Linked DNA regions of Daphnia pulex. The protein of the gene in region 2 interacts with the protein of the main gene of each other region in a biochemical or structural test. Links are inferred from orthologs where the notes say so. Each region holds a gene or a part of one and is shown on either strand. Other genes may lie near its edges.

Region 1 (4,330 bases), on a different chromosome or scaffold from region 2:
GTATTAATCCAGTAGAGAAAGAAGTTGCCATTGTATATCAAGGAGAGAAAAATCAATTCAATGATGAATTCTTCAAGGTATATATTAACTATTAGATAATAATGTAGAGTAATATTAATTTCAAACTTTCCTCATCAATATCTTTTTCTTTTATAGGATAACAAAGTGATTGAAGTGGAGAAACCTCGACCGAAATGGTTTAGTAAAAATCTGCTTCAGAAATCAAATGCAAATGTTACCATTGAAACTTCAACTATAAAGCCTCATGATTTAGGCTAATTTCTATTTGTGTGAGACCTAGAATAGTGTTTAGAAAATAAAGTGATTTTGGTCAAAAAATTTGCTATTTCACCATTTATTCGATCATAAAAAATCGTTTATAAGGCGATATTACATAATAAAAATCGCCCATATAGTTTTCTAAAGAATGCACTCGAAATGAGAGCTGGATGAAAGATTGCATTGCAGTTTGCTTTTAATTCTCTTGTGGATAAGACTGGTTTATAACTTGCCATCTGGGTGCCGTTCAATGATCATTCCAACGCCCTGCAACAAATAAAAGATATCATAAAAAATTGTACCCAACATATACTGTTCCAAAATGGAAACTCGCAACATCTGGAACCCTGAGAGTTGGATTTCTTTTCTATTGGCACGGTCAAGATCGCACTGGGAAGAATCCATATGCAGTAAATACATGACGATCCCCACCGGTGGATTACGAAGTGCCGTAGTGTTCCAAAATAAATAAATTTCATTCATACCTGACCACCTGCGGCACAAGCAGCAATGCAGGCGTATTTACCGTCTTCATGAATCAATCGATTGGCCGCATGAATCGCCAGTCGAACTCCTAAAAATCAATAATGGAAAACGTCACCGACAATATTTTAATAAGATAAAAAAATTGTGGAAAAACCTGTAGCTCCGAATGGATGACCAATTGAAAGAGATCCACCCCATAAATTGAACTTGTCAATATCAGGAGCACCAACTTTACCAGGTCGACCCATGTAGGTCTTGCAAAACCAATCCGAATCCATTGCGCTTAGATTGGACAAAATTTGAGCCTGCAGAGACGTGGATTATATTAGATTATCCGATTCATGAACATGAAAATCAACACTTACAGCAAAAGCTTCATGGACTTCCCACACGTCAATATCACTCATCTTTAGTCCAGCTTTGTCCAGGACGCGAGGAGTAGCATATGCTATAAAATTATTAATTATTAATTAATTATACTATAAAATTAAGTGAGTACTACATATCCTACATACCAGGACCCAACAGCAATTGGTCTTTCGGGTCTTGACTGACGTAAATGAAATCTCTTAGGTAAGCCTTGGGTTTCAGTCCCAACTGCTTAGCCTTTTCTTCGGTCATCAGCAAACATGCCGAAGCACCATCAGTCTGACAGAAAAATTTCGCATTAGCAACAGTTAAAACACACAATAAGGTTATCAAAACGTACCAAGTAAGACGCGTTTGCTGCAGTCACTGTTCCGTGAGGCTTGATAAAAGCTGGCTTTAGTTTTGCAAGTTGTTCAGATGTAGAAACTCGGATACCATTGTCGCCAGTGATGGGTTTATCTTGGCCAGGGACTATCGATTTATAAAAATGTAAGCACGGTAAGAACTAGGAAAATCAAGACGTGCATACCTTGATAAGGTACAATATCAGAAAGTAGGCCCTTTTCAGCTGCATCGTGGGCGAGCTGATGTGAACGAAGAGCAAAAGCGTCTTGATCTTGTCGACTTATGTTGAACGAAGCAGCCAAGCGATCGGCAGAGTGACCCATTGTTTCACCGGTAGAAAATTCTGCTACAGCTGGAAGCTCAGGAATCAAAGACTTCATATCAAGCTGAGCTAGTAGTGAGAGGCGTTGACCGAATGTTTTAGCTTTATTTGCTTTGAGCATGACGCCGCGCATTTTGCGGGAATGACGAATGGGTACGTCCGACATAAACTCAACGCCACCAGCTACACAAACGTCGTAGACTCCGGAGTGCATGTAACCAATGCCTAGTTAATACAAGAATCAACCGTAAGAATCAGAAATATCCTGACAATACAAAAGGGAACACTTACAAGTTGTCATGGCTTGATTTGAACTAATACAAGCCATTGTGACTGTATGAGCTGGTGTCTTGTCAGAGAAACCAGCTCCAAGAGCAGCTTCTCTGGCAATATTTGAAGTTTTGACTTCTTGTATCACAGTGCCAAAAGCAATGTATTCAACAAGCTCTTTGGGAAGCCCAGTTTTCTGAACCAAACCCCTGTAAGTAATTGCTTATTACATTATCAAAGGAAAATTATTTGCATTGAAATACATACAGTAATGCATTCCGGGCCAGATCATGAGGCATAAGTTTCGCATAACTTGTCCCAGACAGCAAAAACGGGGTTCTCACAGCATCAACCAACACAATATTCTTTTGGTTAGGTCTGGCTAATGAAAGTTTGGTTTTCTGTTTAGCCGCGTAAAGGGCCGGCATTCCGGTGGAAACATTGCGCGTTCCTTGAGAAGGTTTAGGAAAAATAAAACAGTTAAAATACCGGTAGTGACTTATCAGTTATCACAACTGTGACGAAAATCCGACGTTAGGAAAATGAAAACAGAAATGGCGAAACACTAATGTGATTTCAAAACTGAGAAAAAATACACGCCCTAAAATAAAATGCATTTTGTTAATTTTTACCTGTTCGAAGAAATGCAACCGCATTTACACGAGAAATTTGGGCAGCCATCCTTAAACGAGAGTATCTTATGGATGCAGAACACCTACAGCTGTTTGCTTTTTCTCGTGTTTGCTAATTTGCTTTAGCAACGATGTCAGCGCTCTCCGGTGAGCAGTGGGGATAACTGGCTTTCGAGAACTATTTTGTATTTGACAAACTGGCAACTCAGAAATTGAGTGGGAAAATCAAAAGCTCCAAATTTGAGTATGCAAATAGGATCGTAGACTGACTGGACTGCAATTGGAAACGAGTTTTTGTTTTGCTGTGTGCAATAAGAGCTAATTCTGGAATCCATAATTTAAATTCTTATGGGGAAATATTTTTCTTTTTAACTTTGATACTTTAATTTCAGCCTTTAACAGTTTTTGCTATCGTTTAAAAAAATATAATGTAGTGAGGATTTACAATTATACTTAGTTTTTTATTCTTTCACTTTATTAGTATTTATTTCGTTTATATGATTATTTCCCTCCAATATTTGGGTGTTCATTTATACAAATGGAAATCGCAATAAAATTTACCCAACACGAGAAGTATTTGAATATTGTTGTGATTGGTTAGTATTTTTTTTTTTTTTCGATCCTTACTTCATCCGGTTCAATAATTCGTGGGTCAATGTAAATAAAACTTGTTGATAAGGCGATGGCGATAGTTGAGCTAATTGAGTCACGGCGTCATCGCAATATTGGCCAGCCAATTCTTTAGTTCGCTGTAATCCGTCAGAACGAAGGACTAAGTCGAAGGCGGTTTCAACATCTCCTGGCTCTTTGAATCTTCTTAGAATAAGCGCATTAAGCTCTGGAAACTAAAATCAATAGTTGTATCATTTTAGAAAGTTTCGAAAACTTGGCAAAACTGAACCAACCAGTCCTGCGTACCTTCCGTGCAGCATACAAAACTGGAGCAGTGGCCAGTCCAAGGCGTAGATCAGCTGCTGCTGGTTTCCCCAGTTGCGCAGAAGTGGAAACAAAATCCAACAAGTCGTCAACCAATTGGAATGCCATTCCCAGTTGCCGACCAAATTGAAAAGCGCTTGTTTGTGTAGCTGAGCTAGCTCCAGCGAGAACCGAAACCTTGATACCAACAATTATTCTGATCGATTAAAGAATCTTATATTTTTCTAATGATTTTAAGGAATGTCGTACTGCTTGGCAGCTATTAGCAATCAGACTAGCGGTTTTCTTAAAGGTTTTTTCCAGGTAGTGCTCGAACCTCTCCTCTGCGTTTGCGCTACCGTCGAGTTGCATTAGTTCTCCACTAACCAATTCAGAAACAATCTGCATCATTGTTTATAAGAATTAGCTTCGCGTTCTGAAGATTTGAATGAATGAATCGTCGTTATCGTTTTTACTACCTTAGTTATCAAGTTATAAACTTCGTGGTTTTCGATTGCAGCGCACATCTCAATCGAACGCCCAAACACATAATCACCCGCTACGATCGACTATAAAAAAGGAATTATTAAAAAAAAAGGGAAAATGTTTCGAAAATGTTGACTTTTGTCACCTTTCTTGGGCCCCAAACTTTGTTCACAGAGGATTTGTTTCTCCTACTGTCAGCCGCATCAATCATGTCGTCATGAACCAA
Region 2 (4,084 bases):
GTTAGAGTAACTGGACCAACAGGGAAACCAAATTTTTTGCCAAGTTTATCAATCTTCCTTGGATCAGTTCCTTCTAGAAGAAGTCTAAATAAACAATAGTAGTTTGATGGTAAAGGAAATCAAAATGAGCACAAACACTTTTAAACATCTACCTGTGAGCTTCAGCCATCATGAATGAAAGTACACGTGAAGTATAAAAACCAGGACCATCCCCTACTATAATAACGACTTTACCCTGTCGTAGTCCCACGTCAACGGCCGATGCAATTGTATCACGCGATGTTTTGGGATTTGTTATAATCTCCAAAAGTTGCATCTTATCGACTGGAGAAAAATAGTGCATACCAATGACCTATTCCCCCAAAAATTATACATTAATTAAATTAATATGTATGCATTAAAGCCATTTAATTAATTTCGAATTACTTTTTCCGGACGCTTGCTGGCTTCTGCTATTTTTGTAATTGGTAAGGCACTAGTATTCGTGGCAAATATACAGTGTTCTGGGATGAGCGCTTCTACTTCTTTGACAACACGGTGTTTAAGGCTCAAATCTTCAAACACAGCTTCGATAACCATGTCACAATTTTTGAACGCATCGTAATTTAGGGTACCCGTTAAGTTTGAGGCAATACGGTCACGCTCAAAACTGATAATAAAAAAATTATGTTTACCTTTTGTTATTCTCCAATGAAATTAAAAAAAAAAAAAAAAAAAAAAAAACGAAACAAAACAATATTTTATACCTGGTAATTTTTCTCCTTTTCATGGATTTGTCTAAACCCGCATATACTTGATTTAGGCCTCGAGATAAACCAGCAGGTACAGCATCTTTAAGCAAAACATCAAATCCTTTAACAGAAACTTGGGCAATACCAGCACCCATTAAGCCAGCGCCTATTATCCCAATAGTCCTAGAATCATTCGAAGTAATAAAGATTATACACTGGAATAATTTATTAAAAAATATTTACTTCGTCGGCAAAATTGGTTTCCCAAATCTATTCTTTTTGCATTCAGTTTGACCATGAAATAAACCAATTAATCCACGTGATTCCTTAGTGACTGCCAGTTGTCCAAAACCTTGATTTTCAGCAGCATATCCAGCTTCCAATCCTTTATCTAAAGTTGTTCTAATTACTTCTAGAATCTAAAAGCAACATTCACTCAAAAGTTACAAGGTATTCTAATGATGCATTATTTTATTTTACCTTCAGAGGTGCTGGGTACAGCCCATTTGTTTGCTTCATTACTTTGGCTTTGGCCTTTTGAAAAATTTGATCTTTCACCAGGTTATACTTCAATGCAGCCGCAAATAAACGATCAGTGATTGGTTTTTCACGTTTAACCTTCAATGAACCAGAGGCCAAATTTCCAGCAGTACGTACAGCTACTTCTTCTAAATGTTGCAAAGTTCTAAAAAAATTAAAGTATAACAATCAATAAAACAAACATATTTTTTCTTTGGCAATGTTTACTGATGATCAGGTTTATCTAATCCTGGGCCCAATGGCTGCACAGTCAGATCAACAAGACCAAGCTTTTTAGCTTTGTCTGCTTTGACATTTTTGCCAGTAAGGATCATATCCAGAGCAGTAAGAAGAGATGTTAACTGCGGAAGGCGTTGAGTACCACCACCACCAGGCAAGAGACCTAAAAGTACTTCTGGTAATCCCAAAGCAGTCTTATTCTCATTCACAGCAATCCTGTAATGGCAAGCCATGGCAACCTAAACATTTACATTGATGATTATGAGACAATTTTGATTCATACAACTGTAATAATCTGACCTCAAGTCCTCCACCTAAACAGCTGCCCATGATTGCAGCTACAATGGGCTTTCTACTGTGTTCCATTTCCATCAACAAATCCTGACAAGCTAAAAAAGTAGAGGTTGCATGAGTTTTCAAAATTAAACAGCAAACAATTAAACAACTAAGACCTAGCTCAAGTGATTACCTTTTGAAAGCTGAGAAGCTTCCTCAGCTGTTTTACATTTCTGGAGCATTGAAATATCAGCTCCAGCGATGAAACAACCTGGTTTTCCTGATGATTTAAAATTTGGTTAATAACACAAAAATGTACAACAACAGGCTTTTGAAAAAGTACCTGACATCAACACAGTGGCTTGCACATTTGTATCTTTAGTAATCATGTCCATGATCTCTTTGACTTCAGTCATGGTTTCAACATTGAGTGTGTTGACTTTGGAGTTTGGAGAGTCAAGTTTGACAATGGCGATTCCATTTTTAACCTCGTACTTGGTATGTACATAACCATCACACCTTCTTGATGTTGAAAGATGACGTAATGAAAACTTGCCTATGTTGCAAAGTTATATATAAATACTAAAAATATTTATTTCACATGGTAACTCTGCACATTATAATAAATAGAGTAAGACAGATCGAAATAATCAGTCTGTTTTTAAATACTCATAGTGTTTGCATGAACACTGAAGGTGCCATTAGTTTTTTACGACATAATTTTGAGGTCTTCACTTACCCAATGGCAGGTTGTTAGGAAAGCTTACAAATTTGGAAATGGAAATTAATCTGCTGGTAGCCATCACAGATCGCAAATTGATTTCCCGCAGAGGAAACAAGAAATGAATAAGAAACGTAGCCGGTACTGCGGTAGTAAATTAGTTTCTAACACACCCGTTTGGCGTCTGCAAAGCACCGGGCCCAGCGACTGATAAAAAAACGTCGCCAAACGGCGTGCGCTGTAATTTCTGTGTAATCGAGGAATTTATTGATAATTGATAAACAAAAAAATCCCAAAAAAAATTAAACATGCGACAATAGAGAATGTTGTAATACATATTTAGCACGGTTTGTTAAGGAACAGAGATTTTTTGGTTTTCCGGCTTTCCGTCTAGGCGAGAGCACTCTGGTGTGTGTGTAGCAGTGCACCAATCAGAAAATTCCTTTCAAAAATTCATCAACGAATCACAACAGACATCTGATTAGAGCAAAATAGCAAGAGCCAAGAAGCCAAAACTAGTGTCATAGTGAAAAACGTTCTGCTGTCGAAGAGGCAAAAGTGAATAGCGGTCTGTCTTCTTATAAAGTGTGCCCTAAAAGAAATCATGTGTTTAGGATAAATTTTTATTGAAAAGGTACAATTATTTATTTGTCATTCTCAGATTCACTATGTATTACAAGTTAACAATGAATGACGTATACGTGAAACGTGAGACAACATTTCAGAAATACCGACAGGGGCTTAATTGAAACAAGTAAATGTTGTCCTGTGAAAGGGGTCTTGTCCAGCAGTTTAGTGTACAGTAAGGGGAATTGTCAGTTAATTTATTGCTGAAAGGTTGTTGGTGGTCAAATCTATTTTCTTTTTCTTTTGAATCGTACATTGAGAAATCTATTGGCCTCCGGAATCCGGGAGCGAGCCAATAAACAATCAGCTGTTGGCCCCTGCCGATAGGGGGCTCGTTGGCTTTTGGCGTTGGCGTTTATAGGTGTTTACTTTTGAAGCGTCATTCCAGTTAGTATTTTAATATTTTCTTTAGATTAATTTTTTAGTGTTAGAAAAATTCAATTATATCCGTATTCCGTTCCACTGTCGCTTGATAAAATAAATAAAATAAGTTCTAGTGTCGGGGGTCGGCCCGGAAATTTTTCCGTTTTAGTGCCGTTTCTAGTGTCAGATTAAAAAAGTTCTTGTAGTTTCTCGTTTTAGTAACTACACTACACGAAACCAAAAACTAATTTTGTCAAAGCGACATACAAAATGTTAAAGTAAATATGTTATTGTTAATAACTTTTAAATTCCGATACTAGAACGGGAAGCTTTCATTCGACTCGGGTAGGGAACATTGTCAAGTCTGAGACTTAACGTCCAAAGAAAATATTAAAATGCCAACTAGAATGACGTTTTAAAATAAAGAGTAAACACTCAATAACCAGTTAACCACCTACTACAACGCCCCCCCCCCCTTGCTGCAGGAGCCAATAGCTGAATTGTCTATTGTGTAACCATATGACGCACGTAAATTATTTTTCTGAATCATGAAAGAATACAAAATTCAAAAATAACATTGAATAGCGTTACGTTGAAAAATATTTTT

Evidence for each region. The genes of interacting proteins can lie anywhere in the genome.
Region 1: the proteins of trifunctional enzyme subunit alpha, mitochondrial-like (region 2) and trifunctional enzyme subunit beta, mitochondrial-like are reported together in a solved structure, tested with the Homo sapiens proteins (2 studies listed by IntAct, with this or other methods). The link is inferred for Daphnia pulex from reciprocal best matches to the Homo sapiens genes HADHA and HADHB.

Annotation. Positions count from the first base shown.
Region 1 is NC_060022.1:3,662,773-3,667,102, reverse strand, and holds trifunctional enzyme subunit beta, mitochondrial-like, read right to left. Parts: upstream 2,864-4,330; 5' UTR 2,753-2,863; coding exon 2,704-2,752; intron 2,523-2,703; coding exon 2,339-2,522; intron 2,281-2,338; coding exon 2,093-2,280; intron 2,027-2,092; coding exon 1,664-2,026; intron 1,606-1,663; coding exon 1,475-1,605; intron 1,414-1,474; coding exon 1,281-1,413; intron 1,214-1,280; coding exon 1,131-1,213; intron 1,071-1,130; coding exon 920-1,070; intron 854-919; coding exon 765-853; intron 547-764; coding exon 502-546; 3' UTR 340-501; downstream 1-339. Other genes in the region: 39S ribosomal protein L32, mitochondrial-like, read left to right, coding at 1-77, 157-279; all trans-polyprenyl-diphosphate synthase PDSS1-like, read right to left, coding at 3,327-3,548, 3,622-3,816, 3,889-4,020, 4,098-4,187, 4,250-4,330. UniProt on the Homo sapiens protein: Mitochondrial trifunctional enzyme catalyzes the last three of the four reactions of the mitochondrial beta-oxidation pathway.
Region 2 is NC_060020.1:8,451,063-8,455,146, reverse strand, and holds the start of trifunctional enzyme subunit alpha, mitochondrial-like, read right to left. Parts: upstream 2,897-4,084; 5' UTR 2,823-2,896; intron 2,735-2,822; 5' UTR 2,570-2,734; coding exon 2,506-2,569; intron 2,323-2,505; coding exon 2,110-2,322; intron 2,047-2,109; coding exon 1,960-2,046; intron 1,880-1,959; coding exon 1,791-1,879; intron 1,730-1,790; coding exon 1,479-1,729; intron 1,417-1,478; coding exon 1,212-1,416; intron 1,151-1,211; coding exon 975-1,150; intron 915-974; coding exon 747-914; intron 650-746; coding exon 427-649; intron 353-426; coding exon 153-352; intron 85-152; coding exon 1-84. UniProt on the Homo sapiens protein: Mitochondrial trifunctional enzyme catalyzes the last three of the four reactions of the mitochondrial beta-oxidation pathway.